Linked DNA regions of Pelodiscus sinensis. The protein of the gene in region 2 interacts with the protein of the main gene of each other region in a pairwise test. Links are inferred from orthologs where the notes say so. Each region holds a gene or a part of one and is shown on either strand. Other genes may lie near its edges.

The links. The genes of interacting proteins can lie anywhere in the genome.
Region 1: the proteins of NELFB (region 2) and negative elongation factor E-like interact in binary tests that used the Homo sapiens proteins (3 or more experiments, as listed by UniProt). The link is inferred for Pelodiscus sinensis from reciprocal best matches to the Homo sapiens genes NELFB and NELFE.

What each region holds. Positions count from the first base shown.
Region 1 is NW_027466016.1:18,684-28,411, reverse strand, and holds the start of negative elongation factor E-like, read right to left. Parts: upstream 3,878-9,728; 5' UTR 3,719-3,877; intron 1,246-3,718; 5' UTR 1,203-1,245; coding exon 1,128-1,202; intron 609-1,127; coding exon 536-608; intron 1-535. UniProt on the Homo sapiens protein: Essential component of the NELF complex, a complex that negatively regulates the elongation of transcription by RNA polymerase II.
Region 2 is NC_134732.1:3,323,682-3,333,635, forward strand, and holds the start of NELFB (negative elongation factor B), read left to right. Parts: upstream 1-5,423; 5' UTR 5,424-5,484; coding exon 5,485-5,586; intron 5,587-6,238; coding exon 6,239-6,402; intron 6,403-6,597; coding exon 6,598-6,697; intron 6,698-7,662; coding exon 7,663-7,893; intron 7,894-9,954. UniProt on the Homo sapiens protein: Essential component of the NELF complex, a complex that negatively regulates the elongation of transcription by RNA polymerase II.

The DNA.
Region 1 (9,728 bases), on a different chromosome or scaffold from region 2:
GTCCCCCCCCCCCGCCGGGACCGCCGGCCCTGCCCCCCCCGCTGGAACCGCCGGGCCCTGCCTCCCCCCCCCCCGCCGGGACCGCCGGCCCCTGTCCCCCCCCCCCGTTGGGACTGCCAGCCCCTGCCCCCCCCCCGCCGGGACCGCCGGCCCCTGTCCCCCCCCCCCGCTGGAACCGCCGGCCCTGCCCCCCCCGCTGGAACCGCCGGCCCCTGCCTCCCCCCCCCCGCTGGAACCGCCGGCCCCTGTCCCACCCCCCGCTGGGACCGCCGGCCCCTGCTGCAACCACGGGGGATCCCCTCCCGCTGTAACCACCAACCCCCCGCCCACTGTAACCACTGGCTTCCGCTTCCCCCTGCTTGTAACCACGGGGGACTGCCCCCCCACTGCCACCACCCGCCCCCACTGCATCCCGCTGTAACCACCGGCCCCCACTGCCCTCCCAGAGATCCCAGCCATCCGGGCTCCCAGGTCCCCTCCGCCCGCCGGCCCCTGCCCCCACCCCCAGCACCCCCCAGGCTCTGCCCGGCCTCACAGCGTTTGATGCCTCCTTGGCTGGCCTGGCTGGTGGAGCTTTGCTGCTTCTTTAGAGCCAGAAGAGCCTTTTTCTGGGGGGTGAAAACGTCCGTCAGTTCCTGCCCCCGCCCCGCAGCCCCAGAACCCCACAGGCCCTGCATACCCCCTCCCCCCGCCCCACAGGGCCCATCTCGCCCCGCACACCCCTCCCCCTGCCCCACACGCCCCTCCCCCCGCCCCACAGGGCCCATCTCGCCCCGCACACCCCTCCCCCTGCCCCACACGCCCCTCCCCCCGCCCCACAGGGCCCATCTCGCCCCGCACACCCCTCCCCCTGCCCCACACGCCCCTTCCCCCGCCCCACAGGGCCCATCTCGCCCCGCACACCCCTCCCCCTGTCCCACACACCCCTCCCCCCGCCCCACAGGGCCCATCTCGCCCCGAGTATCCCCCCCCGCCCCACAGGGCCCATCTTGCCCCGCAATCTTGCCCCGCATACCCCTCCCCCTGCCCCACACACCCCTCCCCCTGCCCCACACGCCCCTCCCCCTGCCCCACAGGGCCCATCTCACCCAGCACCCCCCCCCCCAGGTGGGGCGACAGGCTCCGACCTTCTTCTTCAGCTTGGCAAACTTCTTCTGCAAGGCCTCCTCCTGTTCGGTGAGGCCGGGGGGCAGGACGAGCATGGTGGGGCGCTCGTGGGGGGGAGGCTGCACTGGCACCCGGGGGCTGCGGGAGGAAGCAGACACAGGGGTGAGCGGGGGGGGGGTGGAGCCTCCCCCTGCACTACGGATGGTCGATGTTGGTTCACTGACTAGCCGAGTGATCGCGGATTCTGAGCCGTTACTCGACTGGTCTGGAGTCCCTGGGGGTGGAGGCAGCGCTGCCGGGGAGCCAGGGCGGCCCTCCCGGGTCCAGACCAGCAACGCCTGCAGCGCCCGGCCTTGGCCAAGCACGGCTCTAACACCCCCCCTGGGTCTGGTTGGAGCCTGGGCGCACACGTCGGTACGCAGGCCGGGGGGGGAGTCAGCAGGGCTGCCCAACGCTGCGGAACGTGGACAGGCCGGCGAGACCAGGCCAGAGAGCAGGAACAGCCTGGTCCTAGGACGTCCCACTGTGATAAGAGACAGTCCAGACGCGCTGGCGCATACCGGGCCATTGCAAATGGACCCTGGATATCGGCATACGAGGGATCTTCCGGAAACGGTAGCTGATGGGTAGACAGGCGTAGGCCGACCAAGTCTCGCTTGGCTGTCAGTTGGGTTTAGGAAGAACAATCGCGGGGGGGGGGCCTGTCTGCTCTGTGACCCGGGGTCCCCCTGCGCTGTGAGGTGCGATTCCCAGACTCACCCAGACACGGGTCCCAGCCCGTCCCAGAGGGAGGGGGAGACGGGAGGGCAGGTTCTGGGAGCAAGGCGGCTTCTGGCTGGGAAACATGAGGGGAACAGACTAAGCTGAGGGGGCGATGGACCCCTAACCCTAGGGGTCGGAGGTATCCTGGCCCTGACTCCTGTAGCCACATCGCGTCTGTGCTGGGCTGTATCCCGGAGAAGCAATAACCCCCCTGTTCTACCGGCTGGGGAGTCTGTTCTGGCTGCTACGGGGGTGCAGGATCGGGGACGGGGGGTCCCTGACACACTGGAACAAGGAACGGACCCTTCACACCCCTTCAGTGCCGACGTGCAGGCATCCAAGCCACCACGACCCCCGGCCTGGCACTGTCGGGAGCGCACCGGTGACATGTAAGTGACCTAGGCGCAATGAGGGTATTAGAATCGGCTAGGACTGGCGTGTGCACTTCGCGCTGTGCGAATTGCTTTCAATTTTAAGCCCTGGGCTATGTCTACATTCGCGGCAAGAGGGTTTTCTTGCCCAAGAAGGGGCAGTGTAGATGCTCCTCCTGGCGCAAGAGCCTCTTCTGAAAAAAGTGGGGGCTCATTAGGTATGCAAATGAGGCTCGGCGATATTCCACGCTTCGCCTCATTTGCATATTACTCCCGCAAGAAGCCGCGAGTGTAGCCATAGCTCCAGTGTTTTCAATTGTCCAGCGATTGTTGCTAAGGCTTGTCACACTCAAACAACTGCGGGAACGTCTCTCTGGGGGGTTCCGCTTTCCCTGGGATCTAAAAGCAAAGCACACGACACGGCCCCACTCCCGAGGAGCCCCCGCCCCGCCGTGCCGCTGCCGCGGTGTCCGAGGCAGCAGCGCCGGGAGCCGGTCTGCGAGGGGAGCCTGTTTCAAAGCCAGCCCCCCTGCGGACCAGCCGCCTGCCTGATACAGAGGCAGCAGCGCAGGGGGGCAGCAGCCCGTCTGGGGTCGGGGGGGTCTGAGCTCCCGGAGCCGGCGTCAGCCAGACCTGAGCCAGGCTCCCTGCCCGCCCGGCTCCTAATGCACTTGAACGGCAGAGCCGCAGCAGGGCCAGGCCCCGGATCCGGCGCAAGCCAGACCTGAGCCAGGCTCCCTGCCCGCCCGGCTCCTAATGCACTTGAACGGCAGAGCCGCAGCAGGGCCAGGCCCCGGATCCGGCGCAAGCCAGGACCCAGCTGGGCTGCTGGCCAGTCTGCGCGCACATTTACTGGGGGGGCGGCGAGTCGGCTGTAGCATTCACCGACACGTTTTTGCATATCGATTAATCGGTTACTCAATTCCACGATTACCTCCCGACCCCGGGCGTTACCCACAATGTCCTGGGGTAGCTGCAACCTGCTCCCGCCCCGCCCCCACCCTAAGCCACGCCCCCTGCCCTAGATCCAGGCTCCGCCCCCTGCTCCCACCCCTGCTGCAGGCCCCGCCCCCAGCCCCATACACGTGCACTGCCCCAAGCTCCGCCCTTGCTCCCGCCCCCTGCTGCAGGCCCCGCCCCCAGCCCCATACACGTGCACTGCCCCAAGCTCCGCCCCTGCTCCCGCCCCCTGCTGCAGGCCCCGCCCCCTGCTGCAGGCCCCGCCCCCTCCCTGACCCAAGCTCCTCCCCTGCCTCCGCCACAGGCCCTGCCCCCAGCCCCGCCCCCTAGTCTTACACTGCCCCCAAGCTCCGCCCCCTCCCTGCCCCAAGCCCCGCCCCCTGCTCCCGCCCCAGGCCCCACCAACTCCCCCCCCACCTCCGCAGCCCCGCTCCCATGATGCACCGCGGCAGGCGGCCAGGGAGAGGGGCTGTTGGGGGGGGGGGCGCGCGCGCAGGTTGCCCCCCCCGCGGACTGACCCTCTCCGCTCCCCGTCCGCGGCGGCTCTAGCGTGGCGCGGCTCTCCCCGCTCGCGCGCAGGCTCGGAGCACGCTCATTGGCGGAGCGGCGCCCTCATTTGCCTGCCTCGCGCCCGGCTCCTCTTATCCCTGGGGCGCGGCGCCGGCTGGCGTCACTTCCGCCCCGCAGCGCTCGCCCTGGTTCTCTCCCCGGCTTCCGCCCCGCAGGGCCATGCTGCGCCGGCCCCGCGCGGAGCCCTTCCGGGTCAGGGGGCGGCCCGCGGCTGCCGACATGGAGCGAATGAGTGAGGGGGGGCGCTGGGGGCAAGTGAGGGGGAGGGGCAGGAGGGGGGCAGGAGCGGGTAGTGGGGGGAGGGGCAGGGGTAGTGGGGGGAGGGGCAGGAGGGGGGCAGTGGGGGGGAGGGGCAGGAGGGGGTAGTGGGGGGGAGGGGCGCAGGGGCAGGAGGGGGGCAGGGGTAGGAGGGGGCAGGGGGAGGGGCAGGAGGGGGGCAGGGGCAGGAGGGGGTAGTGGGGGGAGGGGCAGGAGGGGGGCAGGGGCAGGAGGGGGTAGTGGGGGGAGGGGCGCAGGTGCAGGAGGGGGCAGGGGTAGTGGGGGGAGGGGCAGGAGGGGGCCGTGGCAGGCTCCAGCGGGATCTGCAGGGGGAGGGGTCTCTGCCTGTTGCAGAGTCCGACCCCCCCTTGTGCCCCCCCCCAGCGCTGCCCCCCCGGGGGCCCCTGGAGCTGCCCCTGTCCCTGCTGGAAGTCGGCTGCGCCGGGCGCTTCGAGCTCGTCACCCGGCCGGAGGGGCCCGATGGCGGCACCATCCCCCTCTGCACGGTGAGACCCCCCCCCGGCCGCCATCTCCTTCCCTCCCCTACCCCGCCACTGCCCCACGGGCCTTTCACACCTCCCCTCTCCCTCTCCAGCTGCCCCACGGGCTGCCCCCCTTCACCATGGACCTGGCCTCTGAGCTGGAGCGGCGCTTCCTGGCCAGCCCCGAATGGCTGCCCCTCCACCGCTTCGACAGGGCCCACAGGTGAGTCCTGGTGCCCACCCGCCTCCCCGAAAACCCCTGCGGGCACCAGCCCTTCGGCCGCGGAGAGGGGCGGGACATCGGGGTGCAGCGGGCGCTGACTCCGCCTCTGTGCCCCCCTCCAGGTGCTGGCCGCGGGAGAAGGACGTGTGGTCGCTGCTGGAGACAGACGCCACCCCTGTGCACGCCACTCTGCAGGCGGAGCGGGACCCCACCACGGGGCAGATCCTGGCCTTCCGAGAGGTGAGCCCATCCAGGCACGGGGGTCCTGTCCTGGCAGCCACACTGCGCCCAAAACGTGCTGGCCTGGACGCCTGGGTCCCATGCCTCCCTCCCTAGGCTGGGGGGGGCCTTTCGGCACATGAGAGATGCTGGCCTGGGGGACTGATTTAAAAAACTAAACGCACCTTTAATCCTTCTGTTACCCAACAGCCGTGTTTATAACAAAGAATACAAAATGTACAATGCTCTCCTAATTTCGTAAGCACGAGCGATACCAACAAAAGAGGGGGTCTCGCTCAATTCTCCCACTACAAGTCTTGTGCAACAGCTTCAGTTGTGCTCCCAAATATAGACCCATGTACGCAAGCTAACTGCATTTAAAAAAAAAACCCTACAAGAAAGTCCACTCAGTCCTATTTCCTGTTCGGCCAATTGCTCAGACTCACGGGTTGGCCGCAGTGGGTGTGAGGATGCTGCCTGTTTCTTATTCCCACGGCCACCTGAGTGTGAGAGCCGGCCTGTGCCGCTGTGGCCGGCGTCCCCGAGTATTTACGTGCCGGATGCGCTAAAGTTTCACACGCCCCTTCGTGCTGCGCCCGCCCTGCCAGCGCACACGTCTCCTTGGCGTTAAGGGGTTCTGCCCGATTCCCATCCAAAGCAGCGCGGGTGGACGCGGGTTCCTTTCCGTCTGCTCAGCGGAAGGCGGATTCTCTTTTTCGGTGCTTCGGGTTGTGTGGTTCCTCCCTCGGGGCGTTGATCCTTTCAGGCTCCCGAGAGCCCACGTACGACCCCCCTCGTCACGCCCTGGGAGAGGAGGCTGAGTGCGGGGGCAGGAGACCAGCCCCCCTGAAGCGCAGAGTTCCAAGCGGCCTCGTGCCCTGGGGGTGGCGGGGTGAGCAGGTCGGGCGCGCGGGGGGTTGAGCAGCGCTGCCCTGCGAGTCCCCGGCCGGCGGGGCGGAGGCCTGAGCGGGGGGCGGCGTAAGGGGCGTTTCCGGGGCTTTGCGACGCTGCCCTGGCGCTGTCCGGGGGCCACGGTGAGTGAAGGCCCCGCTCCTCGCTCTCCGCCCCAGGCGCTGCTGGACAACATGGGGCTGTCGGCCAAGAACTCGCTCTCCCTCCAGCGGGCCCCGGGGCCCCCCGCCCAGGCCTTGCGGGGCAGCAGCACCAACTACCCCTTCTGGCCAGGTACGTCCCCCTCCTTCTCCCCCGCCCCCCCCCCCCCCATCGGTGCTGCTGGGACTCAGCCTCTCTCTGCTCCCCAGCGGGATGGACGAGCCCAGCTTGGAGCAGATCTGCGCCCAGGACCAGCTGGAGGAGGATGTGGACTTTGAGAAAGGTGTGAGGGGGCCGGGTGTCCTGCCTCTCCCCCGCCCCCATCCCCTCGGGCCTGGCGGGCTCTGGGTGCCCTTCAGTGCCCTGCCCTGGGGCCGGGTGGAGGCGGCACCCCTAGAGGGGCCAGACCCCCCCCCCCCCGCCCTGCCAGGTCCTGCCCTGGGGCCCGGTGGGAGGCGGCACCCCTAGAGGGGCCAGACCCCCCCCCCACCCTGCCAGGTCCTGCCCTGGGGCCGGGTGGGAGGCAGCACCCCTAGAGGGGCCAGACCTGGCGCCCCCTGGTGGAGACAGGCCCCTGCCCCCTCTCTCCCCCCCGCCCCCTCCCAACTTTGGCTGGTGTAACTCTGCCTGTTTTCCTTCCCCGCTGCCCAGACTTGCTGACGGTGCCCCCGGCTGGAAGAAGGGGGTGGACTTCAAGCCGCAAGGTACTGATCTGGGGGGCTGGTCTCTCCATGGGGGGCCGGGCAGACACTGGTGTCCTGGAGGGGGGCACCCCGCTGGCTGGGCTCGCTTGGAGGGACTCCCTCCTCCCGGCGCCCCCTAACCCCCCCCTTTTGCCCCCTAGCTGCGCCGCGCCAGAGCGCACCGGGCCTGCTGCCCCTGGCCGGGCTGCTGGGGACCCTGGACTCCTTCCAGCTGGGCGGCTCCAGCGACGAGGAGGAGGAGACGAAGAGGAAGACCAAGGGGAAGGAGGGAGCGACGCCCCCCGCCCCTGCCCCCGCCCCCCAGCGGGCAGACAGCCTGGAGGAGCTGGTGCTGAAGGTGGAGGCGGGACAGCTGGGGGGGTGGATGTTGGGGGACGGGGCTTGTTCTGGTGGGGGGGAGGGGAGGCTGTGGGCAGGGTGCAGAAAAGGGGGGGTTGGGCTGGGGGAGGGGGGTTTTGGGGGCAGGCCGAGGCAGGAACGCCCTGGGGGGCGGAGCCCCGTAACCAGCCCTTCTGCCCCCACAGGAGGTGACCCCCGGACCTCCCCCGCCCGCCCAGGCCGCGCCCCCCGAGCCGCCCAAGGAGCAGTGGGCGATTCCCGTCGACACCTCCTCGCCCGTGGACGACTTCTACAAACGCATCCCCGACCCGGCCTTCCGGGTGAGACCCTGCCTGGGCCGCGCTGGGCTGGGGCCCTGAGGGGGGCGGGGGCTGCCCTGGGGTGGGGGAGCCAGGGAGACGTGTCACGGGGTTGTGGGGCCCAGGGCCGGATGCTAGCCTCAGTTCCCTTGTGCCGTGGGGGTCGGCTGGGGAGCCTGGGGACGCGCCACGGGGAGAGGGGCGTCCCGCCTGACTCGGTTTCCCCGGCCCAGTGGCCGTTCGAGCCGGACGTGTTCCAGAAACAGGCCATCCTGCACCTGGAGCGGCGCGACTCGCTCTTCGTGGCCGCGCACCACCTCGGCCGGCAAGACGGTGGTGGCCGAATACGCCATCGCCCTGGCCCAGAAGCACATGACCAGGTGAGGGCCCCTCCCCCTGCTGGATCTAGCCCCTCCCCCCACTGGTCCCTGTTGTTAACCCTTCCTGCCCCCCCCCAGGACCATCTACACCTCCCCCATCAAGGCCCTGTCCAACCAGAAGTTCCGGGATTTCAAGAACACCTTTGGGGACGTGGGGCTGCTGACGGGGGATGTGCAGCTGCACCCCGACGCCTCCTGCCTCATCATGACCACCGAGATCCTGCGGTGAGCGGCGGGGAGTCGGGGCGAGGGGCTGCGGGATGGGGGGGCTGCGGGTGGATACTCGGGGCTGTGGGGCGGGGACAGAGGCTGCGGGCCAGGGAGTCGGGGCGAGGGGCTGCGGGATGGGGGGGCTGCGGGTGGATACTCGGGGCTGCGGGCCAGGGAGTCGGGCTGGGTTGGGGGCGGGCTCTAGCTGTCTGTCTGTCCGTCTGGCACAGGTCCATGCTGTACAACGGCTCGGACGTGATCCGGGACCTGGAATGGGTGATCTTTGACGAGGTTCATTACGTGAATGACGCTGAGGTGAGGAGCAGGGCGAGGGGCAGAGGTGGGGATTGACCCCCGTGTCTCCCCAGCGCAGGGTGGTGTGGGAGGAGGGGTGGGCGGCCATTCCCTGACCCCGTGTCCTCCCCCAGCGCGGGGTGGTGTGGGCGGAGGGGGTGGGCGGCCGTTCCCTGACCCCGTGTTCCCCCAGTGCGGGGTGGTGTGGGCGGAGGGGATGGGCGGCCGTTCCCTGACCCCGTGTCCCCCCAGTGTGGGGTGGTGTGGGAGGAGGGGTGGGCGGCCGTTCCCTGACCCTGTGTCGTCCGCCCCCCCCCCCCCCCCCAGCGCGGGGTGGTGTGGGAGGAGGGGTGGGCGGCTGTTCCCTGACCCCGTGTTCTCCCCCCCCCCCCCCCCAGCGCGGGGTGGTGTGGGAGGAGGTGCTGATCATGCTGCCCGAACACGTGAACATCATCCTGCTGAGCGCCACCTGTGCCCAACACACTGGAGTTCGCCGACTGGATCGGGTGAGGGGCTGTGGGGTAGGGGAGTTGGGGGGGGCGGTGGGACAGGGGAAGGGCTGTGGAGAAGGGGGCAGGGGAGTTGGGGGGGCAGGGGAGTTGGGGGGCCTGTGGGGCAGGGAAGGGTTATGGGGAAGGGGGCAGGAGAGTTGGGGGGCTGTGGGGACTGAGTAGCCGCCTCAGCAAAGCAAACTGCCCAGCCACCACATTGGGGGTGGGGGGCTGAGCAGGAAGGGGAGGCTGGGGGGGGGGGGGGGGCTTTGGGGGCAGGCAGGGGGGGCCGTGAGCACTGACCTCCCCCCCGCCCCCCCCCCCCCCCCCCCCCCCGGGCGCAGGCGGATGAAGCGGAAGCGGATCTACGTGATCAGCACCCTGCGGCGCCCGGTGCCCCTGGAGCACTATCTGTACACGGGCACCAGCCACAAGACCCAGCACGAGCTCTTCCTGCTCCTCGACGCCCGCGGCGCCTTCCTCACCAAGGGGTGAGTCCCCCCTGGCCGGGCCTCTGCCCTCGCCCGCCCCCCGGCTGCCCCGGGCGGCTCCCCTCACCCGCTCTCCCGCCCCAGGTACTACGCGGCGGTGGAGGCCAAGAAGGAGCGCACCAGCAAACACGCCCAGACCTTCGGGGCCAAGCAGCCCACGCACGTGGCGGCCGGGCCGGGCCAGGTCAGCACCCCTTGATGTGCCTGGTGGGGGCTCCCAGGAGATTGGGGGGTGCGGAGGAGTGTGCGGGGGATTTGGGAGTGTGGTGGGGCAGGGCTGGGGTGTGCCGAGGAGCTGGGGGGGTTTGGGGCGCTGCCGGGGGCCCGTGAGGGGAACTAGGGGGATCAGGGCCCCAGCAGTGCCCCCTAGTCCCCCTATCGTTTGATAGGATAACGAGTCTTGTGGCTAAGGGGGAAGTGGTAGATGTGGTATACCTAGATTTAGTGAGGCCTTTGATACGGTCTCGCATGATATTAGACTAGGCAAATACAGCTTAGATGGGGCTACTATACGG
Region 2 (9,954 bases):
CCCCCGCTCCGCTCCCGGGGGCACCGCGCCAGACCCGGCCCCGGCACCAGCCCCGGGGGCGCTGTGCGGAACCTGGGCAGCCCCTGCCCAGGATCGCAGCACATGCCGGTGCCGACCTCGGGCGTGTGGCACATGCTTGGCCCCGCCCCCAGACACGTGGCCTGTGAGCGGCCCCGCCCCCATACACGCAGCACGTGAGCGGCCCCGCCCCCAGGCGCCCGGCAGCCCCAAAACGTTGGGGACCACTGGCATAGATGATCATTTGCAGGTAAAACACCGATCTCTCTGGAAGGAGAGAGGCAGAGATGGGTGGGTGCCTCTATAGCAGAGGTGGGCAACGTGTGGCCCACAGGCCCCATGTGGCCCATTGGGGTTCTATGTGTGGCCTGCAAGATGTTTGGTTTACTGCTGCCCACGCCGGTTGCCAGATTCTGCTGGTTTCTATCTGTGTGCATGAGACCCTTTTGATTCGCAGATTTGCTATTTGTGATTCTGCATATTCACTGGTGTCTCCTGTCCCGGCCCGGAGAGTCAGCGGGAGCCGTGGGGAACTCCCTGCGGTGAGTTCCCCGTGGCTCCCAGCCCGTGGTGACTTCCCCGCTGTGGCCAGGAGCTGTGATGAGTTCCCCAAAGCTCCCAGCTCCCACAGTGAGTTCCCCGCTGTGGCCAGGAGTTGTGGGTGCTGGGAACCACGGTGAGTTCAGGAGCCACACTTGAAGGAAGCCTGGTGCTGGGAGGGGAGCCCGCAGGGAGTAGGGGACAGGAGAGGCTGGGGCTCCTGGGCAGGGGTGGCAAGTTGGCTGAAATGTTGGTGGTGCCCAGAATACCCAGAGCCTAAACCCCTTCTCCATCCAAACTCCCACCGCCACCACCCGCCTCAGGCTCTGGAAGGGAGTTTGTTTAGCAGACTTCTGGCGTACTTAACATTTTTTGCTATTACTTTTTGGTTTTGGCTAGCTGTTCTTCAGATTGTTTTGGGCCTTCCTAATTATATTTTTACACTTCCTTTGGCATTTGCTCCTTTCTATTTTCCTCACTAGGATTTCACCTCCACTCTCTACCAATGCCTTTTTATTTCCCACTGCTTCTTTTACTCGGTTCAGCCATGGTGGCACTTTTTCAGTTCTCTATGTTTTTCTAGCTTGAGGCACACATTTAACCTGAGCCTCTATTAGGGTGTCTGAAAAGTTTGAAAACTTACGGGGATTTCACTTTTGACACTGTACCTTTCAATTTCTGTTTAACTAACCTCTTCATTGTGTGTAGTTCCCCTTTATGAAATTAAATGCCATGGTGTTGAGCTACTGTGGTATTTTTCTAACCACAGGCGTGTTAAATTTAATTAATTCACTATTTCCAAGCAGTCCAGCTATAGTCATCTCCTCAGAGCCGCCCTGTCCATAGGACCAATCAGGACAGCTGTGCCAGCCTCTGCGTTTTTGCGGGGAGGAGAACGTCCAAATGGAGCAGAAGAAAATTATCCACAGTTGGGACCTTCCTTCCAGGTGATGCAATAACCTATCACACTGAGACCTCTTCAGGGGAGGGAAGTCCAGTTATTAGGAAGACACAGGTGTTAGCATTGATGGGCTTCTGCCTGCATCCTCTTTTTACATGTAGAGTTTATCCTTTTTTTATATTTATTTTTTTAAAACAGGTGGTTTTGGTTTTAGGTTAAAAAAGTTTAAAGAATGTTAAATGTTAAGTGTAGCTAGCCCTCCTCAAACTCGGCCTGTGATGAATTCCGAAGCTGGGAACAGCACAGCCTGTGCAGCAGGGAGTTTGTTTATAAACACAGGTAGGGTAATTAAGGTAACAAACGGCTTGTCATTCAAGTGGAGTAAGGATCATTGGGTGATTAAGTCACACTCAGGATGCGTTACAGTTAACATTGACAGAGCCATGCCCCGGACCATGAGTATTCATGGTGTTAGAGCACCTCTGGGGCCCATATAACTCACTGCCTGGGAGACTGGAGAATTCTAGGGGCCAGGAGGCCAGTGCCTGCAACCTCCCCGCAGTTCAGCAAATGTGGAAATATGTGACAGGGATGCCAAAGCAACAAAGTCACGCAAAGTGGGAGACAGCCCTGCGGCTCAAGCAGCACATGGAGAGGGGACAAGTATCAGAGGGGGAGCCGTGTTAGTCTGAATCTGCAAAAGCGGCGAGGAGTCCTGTGGCACCTTATAGACTAACTGAAGTGTTGGAGCATAAGCTTTCGTGGACAAAGACCCACTTCGTCAGATGCATGTAGTGGAAATTTCCAGAGGCAGGTATAAATATGCAGGCCAGAATCAGGCTGGAGATGACGAGGTGGATCCAATCAGGGAGGATGAGGCCCACTTCTAGTTGCTGATCTGGAGGTGTGAATTCCAAGAAAGGAGAAGCTGCTTTTGTAGTTAGCGAGCCATTCACAGTCTTTGTTTAATCCTGAGTTGATTGTGTCAAACTTGAAGATGAACTGTAGCTCAGCAGTTTCTCTTTGAAGTCTGGTCCTGAAGTTTTTTTGCTGCAGGATGGCTACCTTTAGATCTGCAATTGTGTGTCCAGGGAGATTGAAGTGTTCCCCTACAGGTTTTTGTACAGTTCTTTCTGGCTCCTTGATCCCTGCACTCTTGCCTCTGAGATGAAGAGCTGAGCTGAGCACCCCGATGGAGTCGGCCACCTGGCATATTTATATCCCCTCCTGGCTTCTTCTAAGCTGGAGAGTCACATGGCCAGTGGCCAGCTGTGTCTTTGGCCTCCAGCGGTCCATTGTTCCCTGGAGCTTTGCTCATTAGCATGTCCATGGGCAAACATTCCCGGCCCATTGCTCTGCCTCAGACAGAGAATCTTTCAGCATCAACATAGAGTACATACTTATAACACACACAGACATTATACAGGTATACGAAGAGCATGTACGGAATCCGTAGACAATAAGCTTTTGTTTGACACTTCACATGGCCCCCTTTCTATCAACTTTTGGGACAAACCCCCCCCCCCATGGGCGCAGCAGTGACCTGGCTGTTTCCCTTAAACTCCGGTAACGTGATAAACATTAATGGCTACTAGCCAGGATGGGTAGGAACGGTGTCCCCAGTCTCTGTTTATCAGAGGGTGGAGATGGATGGCAGGAGAGAGATCGCTTGATCATTACCTGTTCGATTCACTCCCTGTGGGGCACCTGGCATTGGCCACTGTTGGCAGACAGGATACTGGGCTGATTGAACCTTTGGTCTGACCCAGTCTGGCCATTCTTATGCTCTTATACTTGGGAGGATATAAGGAAGGAGGCAGCATCCCCAGAAGTTCTATAGGGAACAAGAAAATGGCATTCTCGTAGGTCTCTAGGTAGGTATCTGGTTTTCACCCAGATTGTTCATTATTCGGGTCCCCCGTCCAGTAAAAAAAAAACCAGAAAATACCAGACATGTGAAATGTCCAGTATTTCCTATTTCCCTTGGACGGAAGCCCAGTGGGGACAATTTTCCCCTGCCACATCTGGCAGGGGTAGGGAAGTGAGGAGTGCGGCAGAGGCGTAGTGAAGGGGGGCAGAAGGGGACACTTGCCCCCAGGCGCCATGCTAGGAGGGCACTGGGCTGGGGTGGGAGCAAGCATATGCTGCTCTAGCTCATGTGACGCTTTGAGCAGAGACCCGGGAGCTGGCCACGTGATGCCTCCCTCTACACACGGGGAACCCAGGCAGCGAGGCTGGGCGGCAGGAGCGGTGACTTTAAGAGTAAGATTTCCTTACCCGGCCATCCTGTTCCTCGGGTGCCTGGCTCTGCGGCAGGAGAGGAGGTGGGGGTGTGTGATTTGATTGGGGCGGAGCGCTCCTGGTGCTGGGGATGCCTGGCTCAGGGGGAGGGGTGAGTGCACTAGGATGGGGGACACTGGGGCTATGTCTACACTCGCGGCTTCTTGTGCGAGCAATATGCAAATGAGGCTAAGCGTGGAATATTGCTGAGCCTCATTTGCATACCTAGTGAGCCACCATTTTTTTCAGAAGAAGATCTTGCGCAAGAAGGAGCATCTACACTGCCCCTTCTTGCGCAAAAAAACCCCTCTTGCGCAATGCCATTCTTCCTGAAAAGTAATAGGTGTAACGAAATTAGGCTCATTAGGTATGCTTAGCCTCATTTGCATATTACTCGCACAAGAAGCCACAAGTGTAGACATAGCCTGTGAGGGGCCTGGCTCTGGGGGAAGGGTGAGTGCATTGGGATGGGGGGGCACTAGGGCGCCTGGTTCTGGGGGAGGGATGAGTGCATTGGGATGGGGGGGCACTAGGGCGCCTGGTTCTGGGGGAAGGGTGAGTGCATTGGGATGGGGGGGCACTAGGGCGCCTGGCTCTGGGGAAGGGTGAGTGCATTGGGATGGGGGGGCACTAGGGCGCCTGGTTCTGGGGGAGGGGTGAGTGCACTGGGATGGGGGGACACTGGGGCGCCTGGCTCTGGGGGAGGGGTGAGTGCACTGGGATGGGGGGACACTGGGGCGCCTGGCTCTGGGGGAGGGGTGAGTGCATTGGGATGGGGGGGCACTGGGGCACCTGGCTCTGGGGGAGGGGTGAGTGCATTGGGATGGGGGGGCACTGGGGCACCTGGCTCTGGGGGAGGGATGAGTGCATTGGGATGGGGGGGGCACTGGGGCACCTGGCTCTGGGGGAGGGGTGAGTGCACTGGGATGGGGGGGCACTGGGGCACCTGGCTCTGGGGGAGGGGTGAGTGCACTGGGATGGGGGGGCACTGGGGCACCTGGCTCTGGGGGAGGGGTGAGTGCACTGGGATGGGGGGACACTGGGGCGCCTGGCTCTGGGGGAGGGGTGAGTGCATTGGGATGGGGGGGGCACTGGGGCACCTGGCTCTGGGGGAGGGGTGAGTGCATTGGGATGGGGGGCACTGGGGCACCTGGCTCTGGGGGAGGGATGAGTGCATTGGGATGGGGGGGGGCACTGGGGCACCTGGCTCTGGGGGAGGGGTGAGTGCACTGGGATGGGGGGGCACTGGGGCACCTGGCTCTGGGGGAGGGGTGAGTGCACTGGGATGGGGGGGCACTGGGGCACCTGGCTCTGGGGGAGGGGTGAGTGCACTGGGATGGGGGGCACTGAGACCAGAGCCACTTAAAGGCGCAGCGCCCTTTTTTTTCTCCACTACTTTGGTCTCCCCTTTCCCCCCCCCCCCCCAACAGAATTTTTTCCCGGTGTTTTTTTTTTGGGGGGGGGGTGTTGGGTATTTTTTGTAACCCCGTCTGCCAAGCCTATCTCTGTGGGGGGGGAGGCAGCACACGGGGTGGGGGACGCAGCGGGGAGGCGGCATTCCCGCGGGGTGTCTCTAGGGGGCCGGCCGCAGGCGGGGGCGGTGGGGGGGAGGCCGCCACGCCGGCCGCGGGCCGCAGGGGTCGCTGTGGCGCTCGCAGCCCGGCTCCGCCCGCCGAGCCGGAACCTGCGTGCCGGGGCCGCGGGGTCCGGGGGGCCGGGGCCGGCGACGGACCCGCCCCGCCGCCATGTTCGCGGGGCTGCAGGAGCTGGGGGTGGCCAACGGCGAGGACCTGAAGGAGACGCTGACCAACTGCACCGAACCGCTCAAGGCCATCGAGCAGTTCCAGGTGCGGCCCGGGGGCCCGAGGCCGGCGCCTCGAGGACCGCGCAGGGCGCATGCGCGGGGACTGGGGGGGCTCATGGGAGTGCCCCCCCCACTGGCCGCCCCCCCTCGCAGGGAGACCCCGCTGGGATCGGCGCGTCTGGGGCCCGAGGCTCCGCGTGAGGAGCCGCCCCCCCCCCCCCCGCGCGGCGGGACCCTCCTACAAAGGGCTTCACCCCCCCCCCCCGGAAGCGGCCTAACCCAGGCTGGTCCTGCGCCGCGCAAGCGACTCCCTCCTTGGGGCGGGGCGTGTCCCCCCTCCCCCCATGGCTCTGGCGAAGGGGGGTCCTGGGGGGGGGTTACCGAGCTGATGCCCTGGTACATCTCCTAATAAACCATCTTGTTAGTCTTTAAAGCGCTGCCTGGTCCTGCCTTTTGTTCCAGCTGCACCAGACTAAGGGCTGCATCTCTACCACCATTAAAAAGGAAGGGAGCCCCCCCCCCAAACCGGTCAGGATTTAGCTGTTTTGCAAACAGGTTTTGTTTTTAGCAGCGTACCCCAGGCTGAAATGTGAGAAGGAAGCCTTGTTTCTCTTGGCGGGCACTCTGTTTTATTGCCAACCAGGAATTTGTGTTTAATCCAAAACTTAGGACTCTTATGGTGTTTGTTTTGCTAGACAGAAAATGGAGTCCTCCTGCCCTCTCTCCAGTCTGCTCTGCCATTCTTGGACCTCCACGGCACTCCTAGGTTGGAATTTCATCAGTCTGTATTTGATGAGCTGAGGGAGAAACTGCTAGAGAGAGTTTCAGCCATTGCCTCAGAAGGAAAAGTTGAGGAAAGGTGTGTTACTGATCTTGTTGCTGCATATTACTCATCATTAGAAATTAATTGCAAAATCATGGAAGGTAAAGTTTTTTAAAAAAACTTAAGTGCTTAAGTCCCATTTTCAAAAGCAATTCAAGCACTTAAGACCTTAAGTGACTCAGGGGTTTTGAAAACTTTACCTTGCAACTTTTCTTGCTTGCATGTTTCCAGATACAAAAAGCTAGAGGATCTGCTGGAAAAATGTTTTTCCTTGGTCAAGATGCCATCTATACAGCCTGTGGTGATGTGTGTCATGAAACACCTTCCCAAGGTAAAATCTCCTTATATCTCCTGGTTACAACAGTCCCTTTTACTTTCTGCTGTTAGCTGGGCTGTGTGGCACATTTGCAAACTCTTCAGTTAATCATTCACTGGTAGAGATTTTGGCTTACACTTTGATTCTCATATCAGTTAATTTTAATGTAGTTTAAAAAGCATTTCATACTTTATAAATGAATTAGCGAGAGAAGCGTGTTTTTCTGTTTTTAAAATGTGCCTGTCCTCCCTCATCCTTCTGAAAAATAGATTGAACTCAGTGGTAGGGGGCTTTTTCATCACTGATTTAAACGGCAAGTGGGACATTGTAAGGATGACCTAGTAAATTATATAGCTTAAATTTTAAAGCTAGATTTTTTTTTTGTAAAGGGCAATATTTCTGGGAAAGGGCACGTAAAAGGAAACAACCCTTCATGTAAGGCACTAAGTATCCTTAATATAATCGCTTCAAAACTAGGGATGTTAAAAATCATGTAATATGGTAACCAGGCAGGAGGTTTTGCTGCCTTGCCACATTGAAGAGGACTCCCTGGGAGTTGGCTGAGATTAACTGATAAACATCAGTTTAAAAGTTTATGGGTTAATTGATTAAACTCTCATCCCTATTCAAAACCTCTGCTAGTGCTTTGTACTTTGTAGAGCTTTGAACCGTCACTGTAGAATGCTTTTCTTCCTTTTTTAATAGGGGAAGATATTTGTTGTAAAACTAACTGAAGGAAAATGTAATGCTTTATCTCGAAAGCTAAATACTTTAAAATCAGGATCCTTTTGGAGGGGCAGGATCATAAAAGAAGGGTCTCTGCTGTTTCCTTATGTTTTAATTGCACTGGCTATAGAAGTTACTGGCCAGTTCAAGGCTGTGATGTCGATCTTTCCAGTAGTTAACTACCTACCATTTTAACAATCTGACCGGTGAACCCCTAGCTAAACTTTTTCCTGACTCTGCACTGTTGTTCATAGGTCCCTGAAAAGAAACTGAAGTTAGTGATGGCAGATAAGGATTTATACAAAGCATGTGCCGTGGAGGTGAAGCGCCAGATCTGGCAGGATAACCAAGCTCTGTTCGGTGATGAGGTGTCCCCATTGCTAAAACAGTACATCCTGGAAAAAGAAAACACTCTCTTCAGTAGTGATCTCTCTGTCTTGCACAACTTCTTCAGTCCCTCTCCAAAAACGAGACGTCAGGGAGAGGTAAGAACAGGAAGAACTTACAGTGAAATTTGGAACAGGATTCTCCAATCTCTGTCTTTGAAAAGGGAGCATATTGGGTTCCTATCCTGCCAGTATTATCAGAGAATTGAGCATCCATCTGGCCTTGAAACTTTGCTACCACCTGGAAAAAGCTATGTAAATATTTTGGCTAGTTACTTAGTGTCAGTTTATCTTCTTTAAACAAGTCTTAATGAAATAAACTAGGGATGTCAAAGCCAATTTTTAATTAGTTAACTGGTTAAAAGTAATGTTTAACCAGTTAACCGATTAATGGGGAGGGCAGTTGCGGGGGTGAGCAGCTGCCCACCTATCACTGCCCGTGCTGGAATGGCCCCCCCCTTGCTGCAGACTGGGACTGCCCCTGCTGCGCTGGACCTCCCTGCCTGTAGTGAGCCTTGGTCAAGCCTTCTGCCAACAGGGGCTGCTCTGGCTGGGCTAGAGTACCACCTACCCACAGCAGGCCCTGCGGAGCTGGAGCAGCCCCCCACCCATGGCAGGTGGGAAGCTGCTCCGGCCCCTACTGGTTAACCATTTACATCCCTAAAATAAACAGGCTAATTTTATATTTAATAAATTAAACATAAAGCTCAATGTTGTTATAATTGTATTACTTTGTCACTAGGTGCCATTCCAATAGGTTAATCTTTTGTTTAAGCAGATTTTTTAAAATAACATTTAAATTGCTAAGCAAAATGTGTAATTAATATTTTTTCCTCGTTCTATCAGTCTGGGATTTAATATAACGCCCAGCTTTATCTACTGTATATTTGAGAGAGTTTGTCCTTGAATCTGTTTGTTTGTTCAAGAACTCCTCCTAAACGGTAAGAGCTTGGACTACCAAATTTGGAATATTGTTTCCTCTTCTCATAATTTAAAGTAAGGTCAGGGTTTGGTTGTGCCAGGAAAGTGGGATGTTCCTGGAATAGGATGGCTTTTCATAATACCATATAGCAGGGGTTCCCAAACTTTTTGACACAGGGACCAGTAAATCCATTCACGAGGTTTTTCAGGACCGATAACATATATTTGCATATTCAATAAGCAAATGATGAATATTCAAATAAGTTGTTTCTGGTCCTCCCAAAACCCGCAGTGCCAGTGTTAGCAAAGCTTTTGATACAGTGACCCACAATATTCTTGCCAGCAAGTTAAGGGAATATGGATTGGATAAATGGACTGTAAGATGGATAGAAAGCTGGCTAGACCAGGGGTTCCCAAACTTTTTACTTTAGTTGGAACCCAGTTTTTTTTCAGAACTGTCTTTTGCAGCCCAAAAATATAAACGCATATTTAAAAAAAAGAATGAAAAATGAATACATTTTCAGTGTTTTGCCCGGTTGCATCCTCCACCCAGCCTGGGCCAGGGTTTGGGTAACCCGGCGCCACATGAGCACTTCAGGAGGCAGGAGCAGGAGCAGATTGGGGGTGGGGTATCTGGCTAGGAGGGAGAGTGCAAGGAGGGGTAGGGTTGCCAGGTGTCCAGTTTTGTACCGGACAGTCTGGTATTTGAAGGTTTTGTCTGGAAAAGAAATTGAGAAATTACCAGACATATAAAATGCCTGGTATTTTCTAATTAGGTACGTCTTAATATAATTAAGTGTAATAGTCCTTAGCTGCCTGGCTGGTAGATGTGCTTGCGCTGTCTGAGTGTGTCTACCTGCCAGGCAGTTCGCAACTACTCCAGGGAGGGGGCAAAATGGAATCCGCAGCCAGACTCACTGGTCTGCCAGGGTCTGCATATGCCCAGGTCAGTCCCACTCTCCCCCCCCCTTCTCTTCCCGATCTCCCCAGTCCAGCCCTGCTGCCCCCATCTAGCCCTGCTTCCAGCGGTCGGTTCCCCCCGCCACCCACCAATCTTCCCCGGTCAGCCCCGCTCCCCCGACAACCCCCACCACCACCAGCCCTGCTGCCCCCGTCCAGCCCTGCTTTTGGCAGCTGATTCTTCCATCCTCCTCCTGATCTCCCCCGACCAGCTCCTCCTCCCCCATGCAGCCCTGGTTCCGCCGCCTGCCCTCCCCGATCGCCATTGCCGGACAGCCT